Schizosaccharomyces pombe: one gene and its partner. The protein of the gene in region 1 purifies or fractionates together with the protein of each later gene. This does not show direct contact. Each region holds a gene or a part of one and is shown in the gene's direction. Other genes may lie near its edges.

Region 1 (16,192 bases):
ATACAAGTATTCCGGCGAAGGCTTAATCCGGAAGTTATGTAAGTACTAAGCAGGTTAGCTGTGGGTTAGTTAATGTAAACATCTTTATTAACTAGTACCAGAGAGGCAAGAAATGAGATTTTCTTATCCTTGCCCAGTGATCATGGATTGATTACTTTAGTTATAAATAAAGATAAACCGTTTCAAATATCGGTATTACTTGAAAAAAATCAAGAGTTCATGCAAACGGCAATGAATAAGTACGTTGAAACGGCATTTCAAAATCAGAAAACAACTTTGACAAGTTTATTTAATTATTTGTTACAAAATTGGAAATCATTTGAGACATGCAATACAAAAGAGCGTGAGTTGATGGTTCAACAAGTCGATTCTAAGAAACCAGAAACCCCAACTGACTTAGAGCCGTTGGCAAATAAGCTTGAAGGACCTCTATCAGAGAGGGTTCATTTGAACACTACACTTGACTATGAAGTACTGCGTGGTCAAAATCACTGTCAAAAGCAGAATACTACCCAAACAAAAACTACCATCTCTGGCTCTGAACAGTTATTCAATGATGAAAAGCCAAAAAAAATTATTTATTCAAAAGGAGGAAACGATGGGAAAGAAGATGATCTACAAAATGTTAATGAACCACAGGATGCTTACAGTAACGATCATGACATTCAGAGCAAAGACACAGAGCTTCTGGGTAACGAATACTGCTTAGAATGGAAGAATCCGCATTTAACTAATGTCGGTACTCTCAAAGCACCAATTTTACGTTTGGTCATAAAGTGTGTTCGGTGCCATTATGGAAGTGAAATTTCTATTGCTACAAAATTTTCTCTTGTTTGCAATAAGTGTAGTAATACTCTAAGATTAGTTTGGGTGCCTGGTGTGATTCACCCAAATAATGCCCGTTTAGGTATCCTCCATACTTTAGGATGTGTACCGGTTGACGTGATGCCCATTGACTGTCAGGTCTCTTGTATGGAATGTGTTGATGAGCAGATAACATCCTTTAAAGGTATTTCTTCCATGCAGCCCATGCTACAGTTTTGTAAAGTATGCAAAAACAGAATCTTGGTTGAACATCAAGATACCGAATTTCATTTGTTAAAACAACGACAAAGTTCAATGGGCGGGAAGGTGAGCGCAAAAAAGAAGCAAAAACAAAACTTAAACATTACGAAAGGATTGCCACTTCCCAATAATGGTGCTTGCGAACATTACAAAAAATCATTCAGATGTAAGTCGTTTATAAAATTCATAATTAACAATCAGGGTTTCGTTTTTCATGTTGTGATCGTGTTTATCCATGTGATGAATGTCATGACGCTGATCAAAATCATACATTTGAGCATGCTAATCGAATAATATGTGGGTACTGTGCCATGGAATCTTTCTACAAAAAGGATGCAACTTGCCCCCATTGTGGAAATATGACTGTGAAAAAACAAACCAGTGCCTACTGGGAGGGAGGAAAAGGAATGCGCGATCGCGTTCGCATGAGTAGGAAGGATCCAAGGAAGTACAAAAGGAAGCATCACGGTAATTAATTGGGTTGCATGACATCCATATTTTTTTGCTTCATTAGATACCCATATTGTATAAAAATTTAATGAATAACAAGTAGTTAATCTTTTGATAGAAGATACTTTTAAAGTCTTCGTATTTAACCAAAATAATTATCCTTCATCATCACTCACTTCATAATTGACGAGAGAAACCGAATTATCTTCAAGGATTTTCTCTCCCTTTAAATTTTCTGTAGGAAATTTCCTTTGCTCGCTCCTTAGCTTCTCGGAAGGGACAAATTTTCGAGCAAAAGGATCTTTTTTTGCGAATGAAGTCTCAGCAAACTTTGCAAAAGTCGAAAATGTTCTAGAAGAGGGCATTAATGTTCTTCTATAATCTAATTTCCTTATAAATTTATTCTTTCCTAATTCGTTATCTAGCAACAATAATGCCTTATCCTTGTCAGAAGAAGAGGGTGGTAATATATCAATGTCCAACGCTGCACGGTTTTTGAGAGATAGATCTTTAGCTTCTTGCTTTTTTTCAATTTTTTTCCTTTCCTAAGTTATGGGTTAGTTAATATGAAAATTTTAACGCAAAACAAATTCTTCTTACCCGAAACTGTTTTCGCAGCCTCTGAGAAGAAACGAAAGGATCCGACCAAAGCCTTTCATTTTTCTCATATATAAAGTTTATTACAGAACTATTATGCTTTTCTGACTTTTGCTGAGTTAATTGGGTTTCCAGCGCTTCAATTGCATCAGACGGCACCTTTTCGTCGTTTTCAGCTTTTGCAGGACGTTCATTGATGTCTTGAGGTTCAATTTTCCTTCTGCCTCCAGAAGCAACGATGTATTCTGTATTCTATTTATGTCAGTAACAAATTTGTTAAATTAATCAAACCAGTACCTTAGGATCCGTATGTACATCGATAGGGTTTGAGCATAAATGACATTTTAAGCTGAATGACCATATTTTCGTAGTATAGTATGAGCCAATCTCTTTTTTAACAGCATTGAATCTAGTGCCTTGTTGAATGATATTTTCACAATTGTTGCACCACACTGGAAATGGCATTTCAAACCGAATTACATTTCGTAATTTATCAAATTTTCTTTTAGCATTCGGCCCTTCCGGGGGAATATATTTCCCCATATTAAATCCTTGCATTTTTAGTGAGTATATAGCTCTTTATGCCCAAAATCAGTAGTTCCTAAGTTAATACTACGTCTAGGTGAAGTTCAGGCTAAATCAGTGGCATGCAACAGAAACATAATTATAACTCTTAGTTAATTCATGGCTTTTCAACAAACAATTTTAAATTACGTTTGCTAAATTGACGTTAAAATAATAAGGGTTCCATTCTACAGTTTCAAACGGACAAGGTAAACATGTACAAATAAATAAATTACATGACGATTATTTGAATTCATTTCTTATAAATTAATAGAAAATTATAAATGACATAAAAAGGTATCGATGAATTATTAAACACTTGATGATATTTTTAGGTTGCTTCAACGGGGACGTTCAATTTCTTGGCCAAGTCTAAGAAGCTTTTCGTGTAGCTATAAAATTTCGGCCTTTTGCATAATGATAAGACAATCAAAAATGTCTGCTGAGTAGGGAAAGGACCGTTATGCGACATCCTTTTAATGGTATTTAAGCATTCAGCTGCTTGGCCCTGCTGAACAAGGTTACGTAGCTTCTCATGATATACTTGAAGATTTAAATCAAATTTGTGACTTTCCTCAAAATACTTCCAATACCTTGCTAACAAATCACCGTTTTGTATTTGACGAATGACCTGTAATGCTGTAACCAAACTTCTTGAAGTACAATCGCAATATGGGGGTAAAGGATAACGCAAGTTGGAATCTTCGAAAATCTGATATTCCAATCCCATCACTTTTGTAAGAATATTTAACCCCACGTTTCTCACTTGAGGCGAGTTGCTAGTAGCCAGAAGTTTCACAAAGGAACAAATAAGACTTTCATCAACTGCTATTCCTTTCTTTTGGCATTCAAGGACAAAATAATTCCAAAGATTCGTCCCCATCTTTAACACTTCTTCACGTTGTTCCGGATTGAACATAGAAAAGTCGTTCAAAAGTCGAAGAATTTGAGATCCACTATAGAAATCCAATGTTTGTTTGATGGATGGAATAATCATTGACACCAATACCATACTTTTAAGCTTTAGACTACACTTGGATATAATTCGTATGTGATGCAAATTGGATGTGACATTATTAGACTCCTTGAGAGCACTAGCTGTTACCTTTTCACTATATTCACGTAGTTTAGAAAAATTTCCTTGCTTATTCTTTTCAATAGCATCGCAAAATCCCTTTAGAAGAATGGAGTATGTATGATCGCTAGGTTTTTGTTGGCGCTTTTTCATATCATTGTACAAAGACCAAGCAGCGTTGTAATGCCCTTTAGCTAAATGATATTGTAGTACAAGGTTATAGGCAACCGTCTTCTTGGCATTTGATCTCTCGTACAGTAAATGCAATGCTTTCTCTAAAGACTCTTTTTGAAGTAACGAAGATACATTTTTAGCCAGTTTGAAACCATCGTTTCTTATTAAGGATGACTTAGTTTTTTTATTTCGAAACTCATTTAGATTGTTGACTTGCTCCTTGAATTTCAAAGCATCAGCGATTAAAAGGCGCTTTCGTACTAATTTCCGCGCATTACTTACTGAAACACTATACGTGGTTGCAAATTCCCGCAAGCAGAAGCGGTTTAGGAGCAAATCGACAAAGGCCCTTCGCGGAAATGTCCTTTTAATGAATTGCATTAAACAAACCACTAGTTTATTCAAGTTTAGGATTAAAACCGCGTTAGTAGGAAGTAAGTTATAAAATATGAGTTGTTACGAATGAAGACACTACATCATTAGTTCAACCATCGTCTTATGTACAACGTTGAGTAAAAGTGCTGTTTGACGAGGTAAAATTACTATATGCACACAAAAGATTGCAAAAATGAGTTAACAAAGCTAATTACAATGAAAGTAACTACTAGCGATGAATTTACTAATAACACCTAATGACCAAAACAACTAAATCTACTTGTTGTAAATTATTTTGTCAAAGCTAGGAAAGATATGGTTATTTTTAACATCTACACCAAATTAAAGCATCTTTCTAACGAGAGAGTTAATATGCTCATCACGCTTGCCAGCATCACCACCTTCGATGAAATGCTTGAACTTGCGATCTCTCCAGCCACCCAAGGGAGAAGAAAGTTGGAAGGGCCAGATGAAGTTGGCAGCTTGCTTGAAGTTGGGACCGACGGTGTAAATTTCGTGAATCAAATCCTCGATAGACAAGATAGAGTACTTGCCCAAAGCAGCTTCGATGATAGCATTGTCAGAAAGAGCAATGCGTTGTTTGTTGACCTTACCAAAACCACGCTTGTAAAGGAGCTCACGAACAGTCTTGAGGTTAGGAATACCATAAGTAACATAAGGTTCAACGACTTGAAGCATTTCTTTGGTAGCCTTGTTAAATTTAACAAAGACACCGTTGTTGATTTGAATAAGACGGAGTAATTGCATGATCTTACGGGCCTTGGGAGGAATGTTGTTGATACCACGAATACGGATGACAAAGACCAACTTGGTTTCGTCAGGGACGTAGTAGTTGCCCTCAGCACGAGCCTTGCGACCGAGTTCGATTTGCTCACGTTCGGCCTTGCGGTACTCAGCATCGTAAGATTCGGCGCGCTTTGCAATGAGCTCACGCTTCTTTTGTTGAGCCTAAACATAACAGTTAATACAGTAGAAATTTTGTGAAATTAGAATGGATGTAATTTAGATGGAAAGAAATAAATAAAGAGAAAAGTAGAAAAACAGTAATCAGTCCCGAAAGATGGTAAATTGTGGAACGCGCACAGCCTAAGCTAGCTATCCGAAATTTGTTGTCATCATCTTGTTTTTCATATTTCTCAATTATCTGCTTTATTATTGCTTATAAAAATAAAGCAATCATAAAAAATTCCATGACAGGCTAAAGCGTTTGACTAATTTTTGGGAGGTGAAAACCCTTGCAAACCGATCAAAATGAATGTGGGAGGGTTCTATCTAGATGAAAAAACACAATCTGTAGTGTACTTTATAGATAAACTCTTCATCATTCAAAAGATTTCTGTACTTTATTCAATCCATCCAAAGACAAATATCCATAGACAAAACACTTACAGCTTTCTTCTCGGCAGCGGCAGCAACACGCTGTTCACGAGACTGCTCTTGGGTCTTCTTCTTCTTCAAAAGAGACTCAGGAGCAAAGATTTGCTCCTTTGAGGGGACCGTTGACGATGCTACAGCCATGATGGTGGATGTCTGGTGGTAAAGTTGGTAAGAAAAGACTAGTGGTCAACTTTTCCCATGAGCAGTCACAAAAGTTTCGACACAAATTTGTGACTGTTCCTTTAGTTTACACAGGAAGAAGCCCAAAACAAAAGAGATATCGCAGTTACCAAAAACTAACCACGAAAAATGGCTACTAACGTTGGCCCTCAAATCCGTTCCGGTGAGCTTGTTTTCGGCGTTGCTCACATCTTCGCCTCCTTTAATGATACATTCGTTCACATCACTGATTTGACCGGCAAGGAAACCATTGTTCGTGTCACCGGTGGTATGAAGGTCAAGACTGATCGTGATGAGTCTTCTCCTTACGCTGCTATGTTAGCCGCCCAAGACGCTGCTGCTAAGTGCAAGGAAGTTGGTATCACTGCTCTTCACATCAAGATCCGTGCTACTGGTGGTACTGCTACCAAGACCCCTGGTCCTGGTGCTCAAGCTGCCCTTCGTGCCTTGGCCCGTGCTGGTATGCGTATTGGCCGTATTGAGGATGTTACTCCCATCCCCACTGATTCTACTCGTAGAAAGGGTGGTCGTCGTGGTCGCAGACTTTAAGTGTGCTGTCGTATCTGCCAGTGTCTCGAATTTTATTTCGGTACTTTTCTGTCACATGGGAGGAATTTCACTGGAATTGTTATTCGTTTAGGATATCTACAGTCAAAAATGGATTTGTAATTTTCTTCTAAAAGTATTCCGTAGTACTATATTTGTGTATATTTGTATTGTTTGAATATTTAGAACTTCATGTCTTGTATCCTGTGAGCCACTGTGTTGGTGTAATGAAATTGCAAGTTGTGTTCCTTTAAAGAATTGACATATGCTCTTTAAGTCTACAATAATATTACAGAGTTTTAATTGGACTATTTTAAAGCTATCATTTTTGCCAATTAGAAAGGGATATATGTCCTTCATCAATTCACTCTTTCGTCCGATCACGGAGTGTCATCGGTGTATAAGGAGAGCTTTGTTCTCAAGATTATAATTTGTTGCAACGGTAGATTTTTCATATAAAAGTGTATTGAATAGCCCTTTTAAATGCACAGACATAATTCGATGCTTGTTTAATTTGCATTTTTTCTAAATCTTTTCACATGTAAACAAATTTATAAACACCGTTGAAAACCATTCGTAATCTTATATTTCACTGCATGTTCTTAATTAAATAAATTGTGATTAATAATTCTTATTGAATAATGTCCAGTGAGCTAAACCAAAAATTTGGTGTATCACAAATCACAGCACTTTAATCATTTTGCCTTGTTTGTTCGGACATTAGGAAGGAAATATAGTATGAAGAAAGCAATCTGTTATGCTCAATTTCGTGTCATTTCGGTTTTCATACAGAATATTTCCCCGTTCCCTCACAGTTCAATTTGTAACAAAGCAACCCAGCAGTAAATTCTCATAGACTTACGAAAATTTCAATACTTTCTGTCTCTACATTAACACTTAATGCTAAAGAATACCTCACGCGTTCTGCATTCTGTAGAATTCTACTTTTCACCTCGAACTTTATCACAGATCGTTATGCAGATCGTGCGTTACATTACGTTATTAGTTTAGTGCTTCGTATAATATATTTTATCGTAACAAAATAACTTTTGCTAATTCAGTGTGACTGTTTTTGCAAACAGGAACCATGCCGAAACTTTTTTGGCTTTCAGGACTACAACCCAGTAAAACTATCCACGAGCCAACATGCAGTCTGTTCAGTGCTTTGGAAAGAAAGGCAATGCCACAGCAGTCGCCCACTGTAAGGTCGGCAAGGGCTTGATCAAGGTCAACGGTGCCCCTCTCTCTCTTGTTCAACCCGAAATTTTGCGCATGAAGGTCTACGAGCCTATCTTGGTCGCTGGTGCCGATAAGTTTGCCGGTGTTGACATTCGTGTCCGTGTCTCTGGTGGTGGTCATGTTTCTCAAATCTATGCCATTCGTCAAGCCATCTCCAAGGCCATCGTTGCTTACTACCAAAAGTTCGTTGATGAACACTCCAAGGCTGAGCTTAAGAAGGCTCTCATTACTTATGACCGTACTTTGTTGGTTGCTGATCCTCGTCGTATGGAGCCCAAGAAGGTATGTGCTAAACGAAGAGAAGTTCATGACATCTTCGGAATCGATTTCTTGCACGATTTATTGTGTTGTCGAACTTGTTCCGTGTACAGAATGTTAATGATACTGTATCTCTCGATACGACATAACATTTGTTTCTTTTTTTTAGAATGTGTTACTAATGATTTTTTTTAGTTCGGTGGTCATGGTGCCCGTGCTCGTCAACAAAAGTCTTACCGTTAAAATGTGTTTGGCTGTTTGGCTTTTTTCCATTATGTATCTATACAATTGATTTATCATAAATATTGTTTGATACTGTGTACGAGCCAACCGTTGGTGTTTTCGTAAACCCTTATTCATAATTCTTCGGTATTGACATATATGAAACAAAAGTTCAGTGTACGAGAAAGCGACTGTAGAAATGTATTTAGAGATTTTAATAGTACTTATAGTTTCTATAGTGCTGTCGTGTAATTGCTTAGTCGATTAGGTGTAGTGGAAATTCCTTGTTCGGTATTGTAGGAATATCAAAATGGTAGATTGAACGAACGAGTTAGGTGAGTAGGGCCGCCGCCATATGATGGATTGTGTTTTTTGAGTGTTCAAAATTAAACAATTAAAGATTATTTAATTCAAGGTTGCTTCTTCTTTTTTAGTGTTTTGAAAATCTCTCACTATGCACTGTGCGACTGCACTTACGCAGGTCACTTCTTACTTTTTTAAATATCACATGTCGAAACGGCTTGCTGAAAAAAAAATAGGAGTTTTGATCATTTTACTTTTCTGCTAATATTCAGTTAGAAATCCCACAGTGGTTATCGAGCAATGTCATTTTAATTGAGAACAAACAAGCACCGAAAAATAAATCCTTATTTGAAGTAGATAGTTTTGCAAATCTAACGATAAATTTACTTGATAAAATTTGAGTGATTAGACACCATTATGGCAGGCTCCAAGTGGGAGACAGAAGAAACGAATCAATTCGCAATTGAAAATCAAAAATTAGAAGAGGAATGGCGTAAAAAGCGACGGTTAGAAAAAAAAAGAAAAAGAAAAATATTAGAGGAAGAAGAGAAAGCTGAAGAAAGAAACATTGATGCTTGCAGGCTCTACTTGATGGGGAATACACCTGAACTTAAGTCTTGCAATTCTATTGATGATTATGAAATATTGGAAAAAATTGAGGAGGGATCTTACGGAATCGTTTATCGAGGTCTTGACAAAAGTACGAATACCCTGGTTGCACTCAAAAAGATTAAGTTTGACCCTAATGGAATTGGATTCCCTATTACTAGTCTGCGAGAAATTGAATCACTATCCAGCATTCGACATGATAATATTGTAGAATTGGAAAAAGTGGTTGTTGGTAAAGATTTGAAGGATGTTTACCTAGTTATGGAGTTCATGGAACATGATCTCAAAACATTACTTGATAACATGCCCGAAGATTTCTTACAATCTGAAGTCAAAACACTGATGCTTCAACTTTTGGCTGCCACGGCATTTATGCATCACCATTGGTATCTACATAGAGATTTAAAGCCTTCTAACTTGCTAATGAATAACACCGGCGAAATCAAACTCGCCGACTTTGGATTGGCAAGGCCAGTATCAGAACCCAAATCCTCTTTGACACGCTTAGTTGTGACTCTTTGGTATCGTGCTCCTGAACTTTTGCTTGGTGCACCAAGCTATGGTAAAGAAATTGACATGTGGAGCATTGGATGTATCTTCGCTGAAATGATTACTAGGACTCCTTTGTTTTCTGGGAAAAGTGAGTTAGATCAATTATACAAGGTATGCGATTTTTGATTTTTTATTCTTACCTTAAAAAATTCCTAACAATAATATTAAGATATTCAATTTGCTCGGTTATCCGACTAGGGAAGAGTGGCCCCAATATTTTCTTCTTCCTTATGCAAACAAAATTAAACACCCTACGGTCCCTACCCACTCTAAGATTCGTACTTCTATCCCTAATTTAACGGGAAACGCGTACGATTTATTAAATCGACTTTTAAGTCTAAATCCTGCGAAGAGAATATCTGCCAAAGAAGCACTAGAACATCCTTATTTTTACGAATCTCCCAGACCCAAGGATCCTAAATTTTTTCCTACTTTTCCTAGTAAGGCCAAAGGTGAATCAAAAGAAAAAAACGTGTTTCAAAGTTTTCGTAGTGCATCTCCAAAGAAGTGATTTTGATGAAGTGAATATTGGCATTATAATACGTGGAAATGTAATTGGCCTTAATTTACACTACTTATATTACTAATATTTAGATATTTCTTTATTTTTTCCGTTTAGTCCCCAAATTGCAATTGTAATTGTAAACATTTTATGATATCATTGATTTTCGATTTATGGCCATTTATTTGAGTAAAATTTCTCCCTTTCTACAAAACGTTTCACTCATAGTGTTCAGTAGTCCTATTTTTAACTGAGGTAAGTGTATTCGAGCATCGATGTTTTCAAGCAAGCTGGTAATGAACTTTCATGAATTGATAGTAATCTGTTGCAAAGTATTGTCAAAAAATTTTTCTTATATCACTGCTGATGGTTTTACTATATCTATGGGACCCCTGTTTCTATTACATGACTACACTCACTCTTCCTTACCATTTCCAATTTTTTTAGTATTTAATAACCTTGACAGTTCCTACCACAAAATTATTGCCTTCCTTATTTTATATTTAATGGGGATAATTTTTTGTGATTATGGCAAGACTTTTAACTAAATCAAGTCAAGTATTTGATTTTTTGGCAGATAGATTATCAGTACGAAAATCCAGACGATTTTGGGAAACACAGGAAAATTTAGAGTCTTCCACACCTTTATTACAAGAACCACAACAAAGTTATCGTAGTAATAGTTTTAATGAATTACCTCCGTTGTCTAGAAGTGTAACGTTTGCTGAGAATGAACAACCAAATGAAGCGGTGAAATTGGGAACGTTTGAAGGTTGTTTCATTCCAACTACTTTAAACGTACTCTCCATCCTTCTTTATTTGAGATTTCCTTGGATTATTGGAGAAGCTGGTGTTCTTAAAACATTGCTGATGTTATTTATTAGTTATGCGGTAGGTATATTTACAAGTCTATCGATCTCTGCAATTTGCACGAACGGTATGGTACGTGGCGGAGGTGCATATTATGCGGTTTCTAGATCTATTGGCCCCGAATTAGGAGGCTCAATTGGTTTGATATTCTATGTTGGGCAGATACTGAATACTGGTATGAATATTTCTGGTTTTGTTGAGCCCATTATAAGCATTTTTGGAAAAGAATCAGGCACTATTTCACAATTTTTACCCGAAGGATATTGGTGGGTCTTTTTGTATACAACTTGTGTCCTCGCAATGTGTTGTATTTTATGTTGTTTAGGTTCTGCCATTTTTGCTAAGGCCTCAAACGCCCTTTTTGTGGTTATAATACTCTCAACAATATCGATACCAATCTCTTCGATATTTGTTCATCCTTTCAAAGATCCTTCCTTACTCGTTCATTTTACGGGATTAAAATGGTCTACGCTGATGAAAAATTTAGCATCTGCTTACACAGAAAATGAGAAAGGAACAGGTTATGAATCTTTTAAATCTACATTTGGCGTATTTTTTCCTGCAACGGCAGGTCTACTGGCTGGCGCAAGCATGTCTGGTGATCTTAAAGCACCTTCTCGTTCTATCCCTAAAGGTACTATATCTTCTCAAGCAACGACCTTTTTGCTTTATTTGCTAGTAATTTTATGTGTTGGTGCCTCTGTAACTCGTACGGGACTTTTACTTGATATGGACGTTATGGAACATATTAGTTTACATCCTTTATTCATCATTTCTGGAATTCTTTCTAGTGGCGCCTTTAGCTCGTTTATGGGTATATTTGGAGCTGCAAAGCTATTACAGGCAATCGCGCGAGATGATTTAATACCCGGAATGTTTTTCTTTGCAAAGGGTTCTAGCTACGATGATATTCCTTATGTTGCAATTGGAGTGACTTACTTAATTACGCAAATCAGTTTATTTTGGGACATCAATATGCTTTCTTCGATGATTACAATGACTTTTCTTCTGACTTTTGGCTTTATCAACTTATCGTGTTTTCTGTTACGAATTAGTAGTACCCCAAATTTTCGACCTACCTTTCGGTATTTCAATAGACGCACTACACTGGTGGGTACCATCTTGTCATTTGGCGTAATGTTTTACGTTGATCGCTTGAATGCCTTTATCTCATTTTTAATTGCAGGAATTTTGGTGGTAGTCATATATTTCACATGTCCTCCTAAAAATTGGGGTGATGTGTCTCAAGGCATCATTTATCATCAACTTCGAAAATACTTGCTGCAAACTAATAAAGCAAGAGAAAATATAAAGTTTTGGAGGCCTCAAATTTTACTTTTGATTAACAACCCGAATCGGTCAGAAAATGTTATCCGTTTCTGCAATTCATTAAAGAAAGGCATGTATACCGACATTTTTTGACAATACTAACCCATAAATTATAGGTTCCCTCTATATCTTAGGGCACGTTATTGTATCCGATGATTTTCAGGCTAGCATGGATGATTTAAGAAAGCAGCAACGTCTTTGGCATCAGTTTGTCCTTGATCGAGGTATCAAAGCATTTGTTGAACTAACTATTGCTCCAGACGAAGTTTGGGGTATCCGTGGTCTTATATCTTCTGCAGGCTTGGGGGGAATTCGTCCAAACATAGCTGTGCTAACATTTATTAATACGAATTATCGTAGACATCGTATATACTCGGGTTCTTCTTTCTCTCTTGAGAATACTAGTGAAGAATCAGAATCTGACAGTAAAAAAGAATTTGTGGAGCATGATATACTACCTGTGAAGTGGGTACAGATATTGGAAGACATGCTTGTTGGTTCGGTGGACGTTATGGTAACTAATGGGTTCGATAGACTTAATTGGCCAAAAAGAAAGGGAGAAAAGCAATATATAGATATGTTTCCCATTCATAGAATATCAGGTGTGGGGTCAGAAGTCAATGAAAGTACACCAACGTTTGCGACGAATTTCGAGACGTATACTATGGTTTTTCAACTTAGTTGGATCCTTCATACAGCTTCAGATTGGAAACAAGGTTGTAGGCTACGGCTTATCACTCTTGTTGAATTCGAGAATGAAATAGAGGCAGAACGAGAAAGCATGCATCAAATGCTAGAAACGTTCCGTATCAAAGCCGACGTTGTAGTGCTCTGTCTTGCTGCAATGAATTTGGATGCATATAGGTACATTGTCAAAAATGAGCATGTGAGACCTAGCAAGTCTTCCGAGCTTGAAAACTTACTGAAAGATGACTCGTGGTGGCAGGAAGAAAAGAAAAGAAGAGGAAATACTGTAGATTCCTTAGGACCTATTCGTTTTCCACGTCGTATGTCTGGTTATAACTTTAGATCTGCCAGCTTTGATAAGAGTGCTCCACCTTTAAGTGTGCCATTGAGTTTCCGCCTTGGGCCACATATGCATTCAGTAAAGTCGTTTGAGACTGAATCTTCTTTCGGAAACCGTTCTTTATCACCAAAACAAGAAAATAGAAGAACTTATTCTGACAGTACTATTGAGTCATCTCTGATGCCCAACGTGGTCCGAGAAGATAGTTCATCTGATAGACTAGCACCAAAGAAAAAAATAGGAAGGGACTATTCTAAAGAGAAGTTGACGTTTAACGATTTATCCTCGAGATCTCAATACATAATTATGAATGAAATCGTGCTGAAACATACTAAAAATACTTCTGTATTGTTTACTGTTTTACCAGCACCTTTGGCCGACACTCATAAGAGCTTTCGAAAAAGCGAGGAATATGTTGATGACTTATTAATATTTATGGAAGGATTACCTCCTTGTGCATTAATCCACTCTAAGAGTTTAACTATAACTACCGCTCTTTAACGATTTATGGTATTTATGTCTTTGGTTTATAAAGTCTTTTCTTTTGGCATTGTTATAACTATTTAAATATTTGGTCCATGATTTCTATTTTAGATGCTAATATTTTTTTTTTATTCTGGACCAAACTTTAAACAAAAAAAAAACGAGGCAATAAAGTGATGAGTTAATCTTGCATATATTTCATAGGAGCTCGAAAACTTCAAAATGGTAAAATAATAAAGATACGAGTATTTGGTGTCGATTTGTATTAAATTTATCTTGTCTTGAGTATCTAGCCAATACTCTCGCATTGAAGTACAATGATAAGCTAAGGAAGCTGTCCAGTGCAATACACTGGATACACTGGGAAGAATTCGTAACCGTCTTTAGTAAAAAGGACTTTATCATTAAGTAAAAAAGATTGAGCTAATATGAATATGTGTTAGCTTATACTTCATATAATGCCCTTTAAGAAAGCCTAAAAATGGATGAGGGGTGTTTTTGAAGGAAGAAAGTGAGAGAAGTAATGATATTATGCTTCATCTAGCTTCGTCTACGGTTGTTTTTTCACGGAAACCTCGCGAGAGTTTAATTTCCTCTGAATCAATCTGCACACTAGGGGGCCAATCTGCATATTCACTATCGGATTTATCACTCAGTTGCAAACGAACGGAATTTTCGGGAAATTTTTCTTTATTTAAAATATCTGCCAAGTCCGCAATCGTGTTAGGAACCTCTTGTCGCATTATTTTTCTTCTACGAACGGGTATAGGCAATTTCAAAAGGTCACTAGTCAGTGGTTGAACAGAACGATATTTTCGATAGTTTAACAGTTGCATAAAAACAGATTGAAACATTGATTCATTAGGAAATTCGACTTTTAGTAAAGGAACCCAATGGTCTTTACGGAGCTTAGCGGGTCGCATACCATTTGGAGCGACTGGCTTTTGAAGTGGGTAGGGAAGTTGAAACAACGCAGTCTTTTTTAAAACATTTCCTTGAGATAAAAGTACCTGATTCGTTTGAATATGCCTAAATATATAGAGATACTTGTTCTTTTCAAGCATTCTTTCCTTTTACGAGTACAGATTGGCTGTTTACATATATGCTTGTAAGAGATGCGAAGTTTGTTAATAGCGCGTCCGCGTATAAACGTTGTGCCCAATAAACACATATCGTTTGCTAGCACAGATGTTAGGCAGCATTGCGCGTTGAGCAGCCAAAAACAGTAAATGTTTTAATGATACGGTGAGTGACGGAAAATTTGAATACTGGTCAGCTACGCAGTTTAATATCTATTTAAAGTGTCGCTCACGTATTTCGGTATCTGCTTAACGATACTTAAAGTGCAATGAATCTCTCTGTGACCTAATATATTATGTTACACAGTTAATATAAGCAGCAATTTCAATGGGTGTTCTCTGAAATAAATTATATTGTTACCTATGGACATAGCAAAAAATATTACTTTTCGCTTGGGCTGAATGTTGGTAGATTTTGAATACGAAAGATTTCATATAATACAAATTGAATAATTTTTTAATTCTTTTTGTAAAGAAATTGCTACTGACCAGGAATTGGGAAATCGCATTATTTAAAATAGGTTTTCGCTCTACACCAAATTGATTTTTCATTTTTATTTGTTTTAGAAACAAGTTTGAACTTATATTTCCTGTATATACTGTATTTTAAAGCTCCGAACACTTGAAAATGATATATGGAATCCTCATTTTATGCATTAAACAGAAACTAAGGTTAAATCACTACTTTGCGTCTTTTGAGTAATGCCTTACTTGTTCAATTTTTTAATTCGCAAATCTTACAAAGTCATAATTAAGGATTGTATATCAATTTGGTAAAACAATAAAGAGGATGATTAATTTATAATTGACAACCAGATTCATTAGTTAAATGACTTTTCCTAGCACCACAGAAACACATCGTGTTTACTCTATAACAGAGACAAAAATGTATGTATGGAAAAAGAGTGATGACTGTCATCGGAAATGATTAAGTGACAATGCGTATAAGGTAATAATACAAGAAATAGAAATAAAGGGGAAAAAAGGAGCTTCTGCAGGAAAGTAAGAAAATTAGTAATGAAATAAAAAAGACACTCGCAGCTGGTTGGCAGCCCCTTGATTTTTTTTTCTAGCCATGACTTTTAGCTGCTGCCCGATTCTACATCTTTAGAAGTGTTGCAATCGGTTCCCTCAGCCATTGTGTTGTCACTTGCTGGCTCTGTGGTAATTGCTTGGCCTCGCATAGACGACATTTCAACGTCGCCAGTCTCTTCATCTTGTTCTATTACTTCGAGCCCGAGAATAAACAACAGTAAGGATAAAATAATATGAGCCAAACCTTGAATTGCTTTAGC
Region 2 (15,846 bases), on another chromosome or scaffold:
CTCTCACATTAGTATCTAAAGACAAAAGAAAATTTTTATTCACGAACCCTCATATTAAGGGGCATCTCCCCTTGACCAGTTGTACTGCAAATAAATACACATTGAAGTGGACGCAACAAATTTTCCTATAATAATTAGTTAGATCAAACTTTCATTATTATAGATACATATATATATATATATATATATACAGCTACTATGCTTACTAAGTTGAAATCATCCATCGAATTTACCAACACATCGTAACCCATTCGTGTAAGACTACGAAATAGTGATTCCGCTAAACCCTCAGCGGTTCCAGTTTCGGAACCATATAATATGTATATGTGTGAATTTTTCATTTTTCTTAAGTTTGGATTGAAATTTTGGCGCAGAAGGGAATGCGGCACCTTGCGCTCAGTTTGATAAAGGTACGTGCAAGACGAGTAGTGCGATAGTGTAAAGCATTATGCCAACTTAAAGCCAACATAGGAATTCCTTAACGCTACCAATTAATTTTCTTAAATTTAAGAAACGTTTACTTTATTAATTTTGATGGTAAAACAATTTGTTGATTTTGACTATTGCCAAAGTGGGTAATAATTTAATGAAAAACTAACAAACTTAAGAGGTCTTTGCTTTACAAGATTTCTTTTTGGCGGTAGACGTTAAATATAAATATGCGTAGTTTATCTTTTTAAGAGCGATGGTAATAAGTAAAATACTGCTTATCAAATACTTTTGTTTATTGAACTTTTAGTAATTCCTTCGAGACAATTTAGATCCAACAGCCGAATCCTAAGTTAAAGCAACAACGCTGAGTTCCATTAGATTGCCGAGTGCTTTGATCAAACACGCTTATGGTGAGAGTATTAAATGGCGCATTGTTTATGACTTTCCAGGTAGTAAGCTCTTTCAGTAACGACAGCTTAATTTATCAGATCACATAAGATAGTAAACTCAATGTCGATCCCATGCAACTGAACATATTGAATATTTGTACAACAAGTTTAAAAATTCAGATGCTAACGATTGTACGAGAGAATACAATAGAGATTTGTATAGCAAAAATGTACTCGCACCATTGAAGTTTACATATTGCAAAAGGCCCTATCTGAATTGCTATATGGTATTGAGTTACTTCTTTAACATTTAGTTACCACTAACATATAATAGGTTTTTTTTGTCTATAAAAAACATGTAAAAGATTAGAAAATTAGATTTAAAGGCTTGTCAGTGAGTTCTTGATATGAATTTACTCAGTTAAACGAGATTTAGATTTAAAATATATCCAAAAATAGGAAATTTATTTACAATGTTCTAAAATTCAAACTTAAGGTCCAATCTCAACAATCACGAATAATAATAACAATAAATAACCAGAATTGTTTCCAGACAATCACAACAAGGTCATTCATTGTCGCATACACTAAAGTAAATTTTAAGTTTTTATTTAATGTAGCAATCGACACTTCTATTTATACTCTCGACCGATATTTAAGATTGCCAGTAGCTTACCAGAAAAAGTACTATTTTCTACTAAATTTTAACAATTTAATTTTTAATTAACAAAATTTTACTGTACATATATTACATTGTGCAACAAGCAATCAACGGTTCCGTTGTGGTCCAACGGCTAGGATTCGTCGCTTTCACCGACGCGGTCGGGGTTCGACTCCCCGCAACGGAGTAAATTTTTACTACTACTAGAGTAAATCACTTTTTGAATTAAAAGCAAAATTAATGTTTTGAAGAAGTTACGTTCATTGTATTGTGAGAATTTAGAAGATTTTATTTGATCCTGAACTACGAAATTCAATTCAAAGCGAACCTTTTATTTAATGGTGCAATTTGCTACAAGTAGCAATAATTTGCTCTAAGTGACAACAATCGCTCAGCGAAACTCCCACCGTATTCTTATGCAAAAACGCAGGTCATGAACGGGGTATGGGAATATCGTGTTTTCGGTTAAGTAAATAATTCTGATTCTTGAGGAATATTCTGATGGCAGATTCTTTGGTACATTCCCTTGCCTCTTCTTCCCAGTTAGAAGCCTTTGATTCTTTTGAATATGCAGAGGAACTATGTACATTAGGTTCTGAATGGATTCAGGAAGCAGGCGTTCTTTTGAATCTGTAAGTCTTCTTACATTTATTTTCCAAAGCTTTTAGTAGCCGGATTGTGGCGATAAAATGCATTTGAACTTTTTATTAACATTGTTAGAACTCAAAATTGTGTAATTGTTTGTTTGATTTTGTTTCGAAGATACTGCACACTTTATCCGCCGAGAGTTCCCGATCTTGATGCTATCGTTATGGCTTGTGTGTCCATTGGAAGTAAAACTACCGAAACTCCAGCTTCTGTACAAGACATATGTAATGTTGTAGTCTATCTTAAAGAGCGTTTCAAGGACACGAATTTTGAAGCACGAGGATTCATTGCTCACGATTTGTACAGTGAGGAGATGTATAGTTCCAGGAATAGATTATCAAACATGGAATTGGAGGTCTTACGAGCATTGAATTTTGATACCCATATTGTCATTCCTCACAAGCTGGCAATTCATTATCTACAAACATTACAGCTAATTGATAACAAAAAGCTTTTACAAATAACATGGAATTTTTTAAACGATGCTAGCCGAACTCGACTTTGCGTTTTGTATCCTCCGTTTAGTTTGGCATGCGGCTGCATCGCAATGGCAGCTAGAGTTATCGGTATGAAATTACCCAAAGACTGGTATCGAGTCTTTGATACTACAAAAGAAGAAATCGATTCTTTAACAAGCATTTTGGAAAATTTTTATAAAACAAGCGCTATTGCTCATAAAACATTGTATCTCATTTTTACTGAGCAAGTTTCTGCTTAAAGTGTACATCTTCCTGTTTAACATTGCAGAATGGAACACAAATATATCCTTATTTAAAAAACGAGAGTATTCATTAATTGTATATACCTTTCTGTAGTAGTAGTGAGCGAATTGTTAAGATACAAGTTAGCGACATCAATTTTGCAAACTTGGCTATAAATAAAGCATAAACAACCATTAAAAAAACACGTGTGTATCTTTAAGAACGTATCACATCTTTCAGATCCTTTTCGTTTATAGAGGAAAGCATTCGAGGAAAGACGATAATAAACTAATTGAAATGGATACAGTCAGAAATTAGTGGGCTGATTATCTTGTTCAATCCTGGGGAGTTGGAGATTCTCGTAAAGCCACTTGGGAGGTAGATGCTTCTGCCGCAGTCAGCGACGCATTTAGGAGTTCATTAGCTTTACGGCAACTATGTTCAAAAACAAAGTTTTTGAGAAGGTCCTTTTTGCAGTTTTTTACATAAACCTTTTCATCTATACTGGCGGAAGCCAAAAAGGTTGCTAGGGCTTCCAATTTTTCACGGTCAATTCGACTATCCTGAAGAGCGCGTAAAAGGGCGGGAATGGTGGTAACCTCTGAAAGATCAAAGTCCGATGAATCATCTTCAAAGCTGCTTCGTGTTTGAGTACTTGACCTTTGTATGGGATATGAAGAGGAGATTGTGAAGGACTCTGGAACAAGAGGAAGTTCATCTCGTCGCAATTCTTTCTATAGAAAACGTTAAAATATGAACGGAACGAATTTTCAAACTAGCACAATTAAAGTAGCCTGTGATGTATTATACCTTTTTTCGCTTCCGGATCCATCGTCTGCGACGAACAAACGAATGAAGAGAAACCGGTTTACCATGCCAATTGTTCATGGTAAATGAAAACCCATACTGCCAACCTGATTCATCGACATCGCCGGACATGTCAATATACCAACGCTGCCATGCCTATACATTTAAACTGCTTTTTTGGTAACACATCCATTCACAAATTTAGCTAACCAAAAGCAAAGAACCAAATGAAACTTAAATAATTGAGCCAAAGGATGGTTCAACTACAGCTAATTTCATTGGTGTAAAACAAATAGCTTTCTTAAATTCAGAGAGGAAAATGTTACAACAAAAGCAGTATATTGTTAGCAAACAGTTTTCAAGCAAACTATATGCTGGTCTTATCGCTATCGTCCTAGAGGAAGACAGAGAAGAAGTTATTGACATACCCATTCCCAACTAGGATCAGGACAAGTTGCTGTTTTCGTTGAGACAGGAGACGCAACAAAATGCTGATCAACCCAAGGAGCAGGGTCAAAATTCAACAATGATTTTTCAGAGAAATAGGGTACCCCACATAGCATAATACTAAGTATAAATGTTTAGTTTCAAACTGCAAAATTGCTTTGTCATACCCACGTTGATTTTCGTAGAGAATATCAAGATGTGAAGTCCTTTCAGATTCCGTCATCTATGCAGGATCTTATTTAGTTCCATCTAGAAATTAAGAGAGAAATTATAGGAAATAAAATCTATATTAAAAAAGAAATTAATTAAAAGCTGTTTATTATAAAGATTATGGGGTAGTGGGTTCTTTATTGTATGTGCAAAACGGCGGCCGTTTTGACAACAGCCGATTTTTGGTGTTTACTAGCTAAATGACGCAACAAGCTACTAAACAATTTAGAGAATAATATTTGGTTAAAGTATATTGTTAAGTAAACAACAAAATGTTTTATATAAAAAACTTCCCCATAAAAGCAAGTTGCAGACAGAATACAGCTGTGTTTGTTTGCAATGTTTTTTTTGGTGCACCAAGTTACTATTCATTCTAGGACGGATATAAATATTAATAGAAACTGTCTTTCGAACATGAAAACAACAAACTGAAGCTCTTTTTACCAAAAAAGTTTCATGATAAGTTTTTTCATGCAATTGCAATAATTTCTATACTATAATTCAAGAACGGATCAACAGAAAAATTGAGCTACATGGCTAGAAATCCGCCATTGTGTGTTTTAACCATGCTTTAAGAAACATTTATTTTTTTCATTTAATTAATCACTATGTTTATTAGTATATTGTATATATAATTTTTAATTTTTTTCTTTTTCTTTATATTTTTATATTTATTTATTTTTATTAGTTTTTAAGTTTCTCACATAATATTTCAAGGTCTTTAAAAAGAAATAGTGTTACTAATATATAAATGTATTTATATTTTTTTAATTTAGTTATTTCTTATTTTTCATTAATACAACTAAATTATTTGACATTGATTTTTTCTTGTTATCTATCTATTTTTTATTTTATTTCTTTATTTCTAAGGGCTAAAGCCTTCATAGCAAAAGTCAAATTATTCGATTCCACCGGTCATAAAACAATCAATTTTCTCCATTCTTTGAGTCGCCTCGCATTGTTAAGCATTAAGAATGCATAAATGATCGCTGCTGAAATAAGCTGGTTTTCGATTTAAACAGACCATAGGTTATTCTAGTCCTACCCTATTCACTTGCCGCGTAAACGAAACAATTGGTTTTTTCATTAAGGACTATTGTGTTGAAAAACTTAAATGAATTAGCCTATTACTAGTAAATGGTACTTCGCTGGGTGTCTTTGTTGCCCATCTCTATTGTTGTTGATTGTAAACAATGGACAATGCTAATCTATTCAAGTGAATCCCCATTATTATGTATTATCATATATAGCATGCAACTCTTATGAAAATGAATCAGATAAACAATCCGGTTTCTTTATTCGAGTAAGTCATAGCATTTTCACATTTTTCGAAATACTGAAGCGTATAAAATTATAGTCACTTTTCAAGAATTGTTTCGAAACTGAATACATCAATATATTCCAAATATGATAAATATTATATTTAATTTAGCGCTAACGCTTTTCTCATAGGCTCAAAATCATTGTCTCTCTTTTCAATGCTGTCTTTATTTTTGAAATCTCTTTTTGCTATTATAATAATTGAATTGACTATCATTCACGCTTTACCAACTTACACTGTACATTGGAAATGCAGTATACAACAAGCCAACACGAGTTCTGCTTCCTCGAATCAGACTGTTCAACCTAGACAACACGCTGCTCCTTCTTCGGATCGAATTAAATCACTTCCTGAATTTAAGGGATCATTACCGGAATTATATTCTGGATACTTGGAAGCGAATTCCGATAAATCACTTTTTTATACATATGCCCCTGCTGTTGTTGATTCGGAAACTTTCATAGTATGGCTTCAAGGAGGACCTGGATGCGCTGGAACATTAGGCTTTTTCAGTGAAAATGGACCCATTGAAATATCCCAAAGTAGCCCCTCACCATCCCTTAATCCTGAATCTTGGACAAACTTCGCCAACATGTTATGGTTAGATCAGCCATTTGGTACGGGGTACTCCCAAGGACAGGCGGCATATACAACTACGATTGAAGAAGCTTCTTCAGATTTTGTAAATGCCCTGAAATCATTTTACCAAAAGTTTCCCCACTTAATGAAGAAAAAGCTCTACCTTGTCGGCGAAAGCTACGGTAGCATATGGAGCGCCAATTTTGCAGAGGCATTACTTTCTGAACCATCTTTGAATATAAATTTTATGGGCGTGGGAATCGTCAGTGGACTTACGGCGGACTACGAAACTCAAGAACAAATTACTGCTTCTATTTGGGTGGAACATATCAGCAAACTTGGATACTATTTTAATAATACTTCTTCCACAATATCTGAAGAGTTTAAAAAGCGCAATAAAGAATGTCAATATGATTCAGTTTTGAACAGATTGACGTTTCCTACTGAACAATACCCAATATGGAGACCAGAGTACAACTTTAGCACATCTACTTCTCTAAGGAAGCGGGAAGCTCTCGATGGTGAAGACATTGGGAATGTATTTAATTCAATTTCTGGATGTGACTTGTATTCCCTTTCTAACTTTTTACTTTATCTAGAGAACAGCTGTGTCATAACTTATGATGTTAGCCTTGATTGTAGTTTCAATGAGTATAATGATCCCTTAATCACATACCTGAACAGAGAAGATGTTCGCTCTTCTTTACATGCTACGAAAGCTTCAACTGCGTTGACAAGCGGCGAGGGTGTCTTCGCAGACGGATGCAATTTTGACTTATACAAAAAGATTGTGAGTAACAACGTAGAATCAGTTCTCGTTGAAATAATTCCACGCTTAACAGAAAAATACAAAGTGTCTTTCTTAGCTGGGGCATTGGATCTTCAAATTCTTTGGACCGGAACTCTTTTGGCATTGCAAAATACAACATGGAATGGATGGCAGGGATTCACTCAATCTCCTGGAAGTTTAGAGACAACTAATGGATTTACTTTGGATGAACGTAACTTAGCCTTTACATTGTCCAACTCGGTTGGGCACATGGCTCCATCTAAAGACCCTCAAATGGTTAGAGAATGGCTTGAAAATACGTTGCTTTATTAAAAGTTTAATATCGGAAAATTTAAAATACAAGTTTATTGACTTACCACTGATGTGGTATATCAATAAATAACTATCGTTTATGAAACTCGGAACGATAATTAGATCATATTTCCGCATGACTACAAGAAAAAAAGAATGGTGCTTGAATTAACAACTAAGATATGGTTGAATAGATAGAATTATTTATAAGATATACGTTTACGAATAATCGAATCGTTCCCAAAATAAGAAATAGATCAGCATACAGTTTTCATTGATTTTTCAAAGTTCAAATAAAAGAGCTAAATTGTTATAAAAGAGTATGAAAATAGCAAGGGGATATGGAAGATTGGTAAGCATACTAATGACTGTGTTCAGCGTTGGGATCTCCCATGAATTTTAATTTGTATACAGATCCGCATTCAGGACAACGGCGGAGTTTGTCTTTGTAGACAGTCATCCAAATTAAATTATGTGAACCAGAAGGACTACCAGTACAGCCAATATGACGGTAAGGATCAAGAGAAGTGACCATTATAGGATCCGTCAATGTGCCTTTACGAGAAGCATCCAACGGTTTCATATCAAATGCATCTCTCCCTGAAAGCTCTGATAAAAGTTCATATCGTTCCAAACCAGTGGCTTGCTCCAAATCAGTTGGAACCTCGCCGTCACGACCACCAGGTCCGATCAAATCAGAAGGTTCCTTAGCGTTGGCTAATTCTTGAGCGGCGGCTTTTACAACTAAAAGAATGTTAGTGAAGGAGATAAAAATTAAGCTAAAAAGCCCTAAAATGTATCGGCAGCACAAATTAACAAGTCATATCTACTAAGCGACTTAATAGATGAAATAGAAAGCGTTTTAAGAGAGTGGGCTATAGGCAACGTCGATTTTCATTCTTTTGATTACTTTTTAGGTCTGTAAAATATAGAAAAGAATGAATGGGCACACAAGCCTAACTTCCGATATATAATTAATAGCAAAACTGTACATCGGAGATCAAGAGTCAACGGAAGCTTTACTCCTATAGCCAGTACTAAACAAGCTTTAACCATTAAGCTGCTATGACAAACTTTACTAAGCTTTCAAAGGACTTACCGTTTTGCTCATTACGGCGGATTGAAGCAGAAACAAAGCCACGGTACAGAGAAACAGTACTCCTGACCGCTGCTCTTTGTCTGGAGACACGAAGCATAGAATTCATAAACATCTTAAAAGACAATTATTGATGATTTATAACCTGATAATGGGTGAGATGGGGTGTTGTGTAGTTTCCAACGTTGGTCCGGTATTGTGTAACGAAATTTGGTAGGACAGCAAGCTACAACAGAAAAAAAGATGAGAAGGTTAACAAAAAACGGAATTATTTCTTAAACAGTTACGAATAAGATGATAATGGGGAAGTTCCAATATTACTATTGCCTTAATTATATTGTATAAAAAACGAGTAGTATGAGATGTCCTTTTCTTGATTGACTATCGGTGCTCATAACTTGCTAAACATATCTGAGTGTTATAATTAAAGGGATCATTGCTATATTTCTACTGATTGTTTGTGTTTTTTAAGGTTCATGAGCTATACCCTGGAAGAAATTGACTTAAATTGTTTTGTTTACTCATTTCTTATACAACTCTTTATGAACTAGAGGTTTAATGTATCATGTTTGCCTCGGGAATATTAATTATTTTAAAAGCAATATGACCGAAAGAAATAAATTCCCTAGTGATGAACGATTTTCAGGTCGTTCATTTTCGATCTTGTCCTCTCAATTATTACAATCCGTTTGTTCTATTGTTTAAAGCAAACATGCATACATTCTCTGTATATTACTGACCACATTGTGTTAATCAATTAAATCTAATACGAAATACTATTTTTTAATACCTTTTCGTTGGTTCATTTAGTCGTTTCTTTTCATCTAGTTTATTCACATTAAATTTCATAGCTTTTCATAATAATTGTAAAAAACGTTGAGGTGTCTTTCTGCTATTTTGTAGCTAATTTACAGAGTTAACTATTGAGTCAACCAACTAAGTTGTTTATTTAGCAACTTCGAACATAACCCAAGCGATGAAAACCAAATTGATAAATATTTATGTAATAAAGAAAGAGGAAATATGTGAAGCTTTTATTAACTTCGTAGACGTTAAACTATTCCCAAATTTCCTTCTAATAACGAATATGTATTACGCAGTTCATTATTCCGCGATATTTAAATTGCCATAGTTTGGTGATAGTTGACGCGTTTGGCATCAACTTAGTAGCAATCCAGTGCTTATTCGGGACTCGAATATATCTTGAGAACACAAAGTCATATCTCTTAACTTCTTAAGTGTACTTTTTTATTAAGAGAGCTTTGAGGTCAACCTGTTTTCTCGAAGCTTAGGCTTAAGTGACTTCGTTCTTCTTCCATTCATAGTTTCGATACTTTAACAAGTTTTTTTTACAAAGGATCGTCAGACTTCTGTATCGATATTTTCCCCACTATGTCTGATGCTGAAGACAGCGATTCGATTGTAAATGAATTTGTAACGGCAATTGTTCGAGAATCCGATAAGTTTGCCAAAGTGCATTCTTATCCCATGCAGTATGGTACTGGAGGATATCGCGCTGAGTACGTTGATAAAAAAAGAAACTTACTTTTAGTTTAAATGGAAATTATTAACATTTTATTTATAGCGCTGAGCTGCTTTCGAGTGTTGCTTTTCGCACAGGCGTAATCGCCAGCTTTTTGTCAGCCAAATTGCATGGACAACCTGTTGGACGTAAGACACATACTTTTATTATTGCGAGATGATTCATTTACATATTGATATCCATCTTGTTCCTTTGTATTTCTTTGAGTTTACTTACTAACAATCTTAGTTATGGTGACTGCCTCGCACAACGCCTCTTCCGAAAACGGGTTAAAGATCGTAAACATTTTGAGTAGCCTGGATTCTAGCAAATGGGAAGCATACCTGGATCAAGTAGTAAATGCGGATTCCGCTGACGAATTAACGGTTTGTTTAACTTCAATTTTGAAAAAGGCAAAGATTATTCCCGGTTCTGAAGCTCGGGTGTTTGTTGGCTATGACTCAAGGTTTGTTTTACTTTTATTGTCGATATTAGATCACTTAATTTCTCCGCTTTTTTAAATCTTATGTCCAAGACTAACATCTAATACTTAGGTCTACTTCAGAAATCCTTGCGCAAGCTGTAATTGACGGTATTGTGGTCTGCAAAGCAAAGTACGAAAATTTTGGCCTTTTAACTACACCTCAGCTACACTACATGGTCAAGGCTTCTCAAACTTATGGTACCCCAGATGCAATAGGTGAACCTACTGAAAGAGGGTATTTTGAAAAGCTGTCGAAGGCATATCAATCCTTAATGACAGGAAAGAAGATTAAAGGGACTGTATTGATAGATGCTGCTAACGGCGTCGGAGCGGCTAAGATAAAAGAACTGGCCAAGTATATTGATCCAAAGCTGTTTCCTATCGAAATCGTAAACGACAATATTGATAATCCTGAACTGTTGAATAACTCGGTAAGTTTTTTTGATACATTGTTTACAATTGCATGCTAATTTACTAGTGTGGAGCGGATTTTGTAAGGACTCAGCAAAAGCCTCCAAACGGTATTAGTGCCCCAAAACATGCCCGTTGTGCCTCTTTTGACGGGGATGCTGATCGAATTGTGTATTTTGCGTTTGGCTCTCACAGCTTTCATCTGTTAGATGGTGACAAAATATGCGCTTTATTTGCCCAATTTCTAATCGACCTAATCCGTTCTACTGGTTTGGACCTTCAAGTTGGTATTGTTCAGACTGCTTATGCAAATGGAGCCAGCACGGCATTTTTCCAAAAAACTTTAAAGGTACCGGTTTTATGTGTGTCTCCCGGTCTTAAGCATCTTTACCATGCTGCTCAAGCTTACGATGTTGGAGTATTTTTTGAAGCAAATGGTCATGGTACAATTTTAGTCTCTCATGCTGCATTATCAAAGATAATTTCTCATGAAGTATTGTCTCCAGCCCAATTTAATGCCTTAAAAACTCTAAAAACAGTCTTTGAATTGATTAATCAAACTGATGGAGATGCTATTACTAATTTACTTTTGGTGGAAGTCATTTTGGCTCACAAAAATTGCACTTTGAAAGAGTGGAATCAGCTATATAGCGAAATTCCTAGTCGTCTAATTCGCTGTGAAGTAGAAGACCGGTCAATTTATACTACTACTGATGCCGAACAAAAACTAGTAACACCGGAAGGACTTCAAGAAAAAATTGACGCTTTGGTAGCAAAATACACGGGCGGTCGGGCATTTGTTCGATCATCTGGAACCGAGGATGCTGTTCGGTAAGTTCAATGTTAATTATCATTCTAACTCTAATTGTAGTGTGTATGCGGAAGCTAGTTCAAGGGGTGAATCTGAGGATTTAGCCCTCCGCATTGTTGAACTATTACATTAAACAATTTTTAAATTTAAATGTTAATGACTAAATTGGTTATGATGGAACTGTCTTGTTTAATGTTGTTTTTAGGGATATCTAGTAATAATTTTGGTTACCCAAATTCTTATATAATATCTAACAAAAATATGTGCATACATATGCGAATATACTTGTATACAGTTTGTTGATAGTAATTTTTTAAAATAACCAGGCATTATAATTTTGTTGTTGTGTTCACAAGAAAAAGTGTTTGTTTACATGGACTTCCTCACAATGCTTGAATTTAATATTCCCTCATAAAGGACTTATATAAACCTCGCGTGAGCAAACAAACGCTCATATTTGTATCAAGCTGTTATAAAGGATATTGACGGAAAGTTCAATAATTCACCTATTTACCAGTTAATCGGCATTATCCAGCTGTACAAATTTTATCGTTTATAGTGATCACTTTGAAATCGATTATTAAAAGAAGTTGGTGCCAAAAACTCATAAAAAAAATCAAATATATAATTCTACTCGTTTGCGAAAAAGAAGTCTTTCATAAGACGCTATAAATTTTTCTTAAAAAAATTATTGATCAATAAATCATTTTCAGCATGACCTACGAAACAAATACACCAACCGAGGAATCCATTATTCCGAAGCATGAAGATGGAGAAGAATACAACTCAATTTATCTTTCTCGTTTCGAAAAAGACATCTCAATTTCCCAAACCCTCGATTTTTCACAATTTATGCAAACTCAGATTTTATTGACAGCCAAACGTAAAGCTTTAGAGCTCGGCGACGATCGATCCCCTATTAACAATGATCCATATAATATCAGGAGAAGCGATTTTGATGAATTATCAGAATACACTGCCTCTAAAAGCCCCAGTATAATTTCCGAGGCTTCACACAACTCACCATCACGAGAGCTGGATGACTCAGGTGATGAAAACACTTCCAAATTAACTGGAACTAAGCAGTCAATGTTGAAAGCCAGAAACAGACAAGCTGCCCAAAAGTGTAGGATAAAAAAGAAAAAGTACTTACAAACATTACAAGACCAAGTCAACTACTACACTTCTGAAAACAAGGAGCTTTTGCAAAGTGCTAATGATTTAAGAGAAGAAATAATTAAACTGAGAACCTTGGTGTTTGCTCATAGAGATTGCCCAGTATCGAAGGCTTGCTCAAAAGCGTTGTTTCTAATGGGCAAGGAAAAACCGCTTACGCCTCCTTAAAAGTCCGAAATAGATCTATTCGAACTTTTTATGCATTAGACAGTTGATAGGTAAAGGCTCAAGAGGGATATAATCTTCTACGCCATTCATAATACTTAGGTCATTCGGAAATTGCCAAGTCCATCCTTGAAATGCGTTCTCTGGACACTTTTTCCCCTGGCCATTAATATTAGGATGAAAATACAACTTACCAAATTAGTATCCATATATTCAGAAGCCTTTTTCCAAGAACTGATTTCTTTATCTTTTTCCTTCGTATTTGGGGAATCAATCGTATGGTCAATTTTAGTTAACGGATCTTTTTTCTTTGTTAATGAATCAATTTCATCAGAATCAAATGCTAATTCATATGTCAAGCAAGTTTCAGTTTTTGAATATGAAAAAAGTGTCTTGATGTCTTCACCCGTAAAAAAATTCTTCTTTTGGCTTGCATCGGAATCCTACAATCAAGTCAGTATAAAATTTTATAATAAATCACATACTATGAACGAACTTGAAAGCCCTTGCTTAGTATTTTGGCGAATAAAAATGCGCTCATCTAGCATTCCACTGCTGCATAACTTAATATGTTATTCGTAAAAGCGGTCGTACCTTAAAAATGTGTATATACAGACTGGCCGCTTTTGCCCGCTTCTATATATCCTTGACAATGCTTGCAAATCTTGGGCAGGGTTCCAACTTGGTTCGTAAATTATTAACCTAGTGGATCCGGTAAGATTTAAACCGCAGCCACCAGCTTTGCTTGAAAGTAAAAGCACACTAAATTCTTTGAAGCTGGAAGTATTGAAATTGTGTACTATTAAATCACGCTCAGAGAAAGGAGTACTTCCAAGCAATTTACAGAAACGGACATGCAAAATTGATAAAAACAATTCAATCAACTCGAGAGTTTCTTTATATTGGGACACAATAACAGCTTTTTGGCAACCCCTTTGGAAACTTTTAAGTAGCGCAGCCAATATTTGCAGTTTGCTAGAGGAGAGCAACATATTCTCTTGCTCGAATACATGCTTATCTTGCAACTCCGTTGACAAAAAATTTTCCTTTTCATTTCTCAATAAAATGGTGCTATTGCATATCTTGCTCAAGCGAGTCAAAATTTTAAGATAATAGCCCTTCTGATCAACGCTTGACTTGAAACCATCGAGAACATGTCCATAAACATTCTCTTGTTGATGTGTTGGTTTTATGAATAAAACAATGTCGGCTATTATGTTAATACTGATTTTAATATTTGCATACTTCTTGGCGGTAAATGTTTAGCCAGTATATTGGCTTTCCTCCTTAACGTGAAATTGCTTGTAAATTCAAAAAGCTAAAAATCAGTATAAAATTTATCTTTAGTAAACAAACCCTTTGAAGTCTTGCAGCTCCCAATGATATGTCCCTAGAGGAAGCATTCATTGATCTACTCCTTAATATAGGCCGCTCATACTGAGCTTTAAAAGAATTTGGGGTCCCCAGAGATCCAGGAATTATAAAGTTAACCATAGAGAAATATTCTGACAAATCTGAGCGGTTAAAATTAAATAGCATTCACTGATTCATACCGTTTTGTAAAGGCGTACCAGTGAGAAGAAGCCTCTTTCTAGTTTTTAGCTTATTCAGCGTAATCCAAGTCTGACTACTCATGGACTTCAAGCGGTGAGCTAAGATTAATAAACTATTTATGAACAAATCAATACCTTCGTCGCAAATTAGAAGATCAATATCAATCCCGCATCCATAGTTTCTCAAGTACGTACAAACCTTTAGCAATTAGAAAAAAGAATAAATAAAGGAATTACCGTTTCATATCCTGTAATGATAATCGAATAAGTTTTGTTCGACGTAAATTCTTGGAAATCTTCAGCGCATCTAGCTATATAAACATGAATACGCTCGTGACCGAGCCAATTATAAAACTCATTTTCCCAATTCTAGCCATTAGTAATGAAGTTTTGAAACTTCTTACCTTCAAAAGAGTGACAGGTGCTACGACCATTGCATTGTTTATAGTCGAAGAACGATTGGCGTAATAAGACTGCTCTAAATAATAAGATTAGAGAATGAAAGTTAAAAAAAACCCTAAGTCTCATACTCAATAAAGTCCAGACAACTGTTATAGTTTGCAACGTTTTTCCTAAGCCCATTTCATCAGCCAAAATTGCACTATATCCACATTTTCCTTCCATTCCTAATAAACAGTCGTAAAGAAAGGAAACTCCTTCCCGCTGATGAGAATAAAGATGCTTTGAAAGGAAAGGATCAATAACAACATCTACATGCGTCCTGTAATGTTAGATCAAGCATTCACTTTTACCATACCTTGGATCCCAAGTCTTGGGCCTGCTCATCACCAAAGCTCCAAGCACAGTAGGATCATGCCTCGGTTTGGGTAGTGCTGATATTGTCTGGTACATTGTGTTAGGTCTCAAAGGTGGCTTGAATTTACGCTTCATTTCAGGCATATGAACGTCTCGGAGAGAATCATCTATATGTGTGCCTGCTTCATAACTTTCTGCAGAGATTTCCTTCTCAATCTAAAGATGATGAGAAACATTCGCTTACATGTATATCTTACAGATATTTCTTTCCCGGAAATGCGAAGCAATTCTCCTTCTTTGATTTGTGGCACCCTCGAATGACAGGATCCGAGTCTTTAACATATATTAATAAAAAATATCTCTCAATAAAAGATGCTATATTGTTTGCGACTTCATTTTTAGTAAGTTCGACATGTAGGAATACCTTGTAAAATCTGAATTATAAAGAGTCAAATTTGAGTCTTCTCTAACGAGAAAGCCATCCCCTTCCCATGTTTTATGTTTCTTCATAGTAATTTTTCTCCTGACGCGTTTAGTCATGAAGTCAAAAAAGAGATTGTGCTACCATACCATACAACATTGTAATAAGCAATTTT

What was found.
Region 2: the proteins of cdk11 (region 1) and lcp1 purify together in Schizosaccharomyces pombe (affinity purification with mass spectrometry, with the first as the bait; one study listed by BioGRID). This does not show direct contact.

The regions. Positions count from the first base shown.
Region 1 is NC_003423.3:1,786,377-1,802,568, forward strand, and holds cdk11 (Cdk11-cyclinL compex kinase subunit Cdk11), read left to right. Parts: upstream 1-8,604; 5' UTR 8,605-8,863; coding exon 8,864-9,718; intron 9,719-9,763; exon of another isoform or gene 9,764-9,776; coding exon 9,777-10,118; 3' UTR 10,119-10,303; downstream 10,304-16,192. Other genes in the region: SPOM_SPBC18H10.09 (zf-CHY type zinc finger protein), read left to right, coding at 1-38, 102-1,231, 1,267-1,541; splicing-associated factor Saf4, read right to left, coding at 1,671-2,060, 2,116-2,364, 2,410-2,670; PPR repeat-containing protein Ppr2, read right to left, coding at 3,008-4,306; RNase MRP subunit, ribosomal protein L7-like Rpl701, read right to left, coding at 4,643-5,269, 5,711-5,839; rps1402 (40S ribosomal protein uS11), read left to right, coding at 6,008-6,427; rps1601 (40S ribosomal protein uS9), read left to right, coding at 7,571-7,945, 8,117-8,164; vacuolar membrane cation-chloride cotransporter Vhc1, read left to right, coding at 10,638-12,378, 12,425-13,836; mhr1 (mitochondrial 54S ribosomal protein mL67 ), read right to left, coding at 14,355-14,882; SPOM_SPBC18H10.18C (uncharacterized protein), read right to left, coding at 15,980-16,192.
Region 2 is NC_003424.3:703,942-719,787, reverse strand, and holds lcp1 (cyclin L family cyclin), read left to right. Parts: upstream 1-1,908; 5' UTR 1,909-1,983; coding exon 1,984-2,114; exon of another isoform or gene 2,115-2,202; coding exon 2,203-2,848; 3' UTR 2,849-2,914; downstream 2,915-15,846. Other genes in the region: NADPH-dependent diflavin oxidoreductase Tah18, read right to left, coding at 48-125, 207-341; mug65 (spore wall assembly protein), read right to left, coding at 3,167-3,565, 3,642-3,794, 4,067-4,205, 4,253-4,308; serine carboxypeptidase Sxa2, read left to right, coding at 5,774-7,297; cox4 (cytochrome c oxidase subunit IV), read right to left, coding at 7,638-8,020, 8,376-8,487; SPOM_SPAC1296.01C (phosphoacetylglucosamine mutase), read left to right, coding at 9,765-9,892, 9,958-10,043, 10,144-10,360, 10,449-10,809, 10,857-11,620, 11,661-11,733; DNA-binding transcription factor Atf31, read left to right, coding at 12,315-12,944; ATP-dependent DNA translocase Rdh54, read right to left, coding at 12,960-13,100, 13,136-13,384, 13,427-13,496, 13,536-14,151, 14,187-14,259, 14,298-14,455, 14,495-14,593, 14,630-14,693 and 7 more.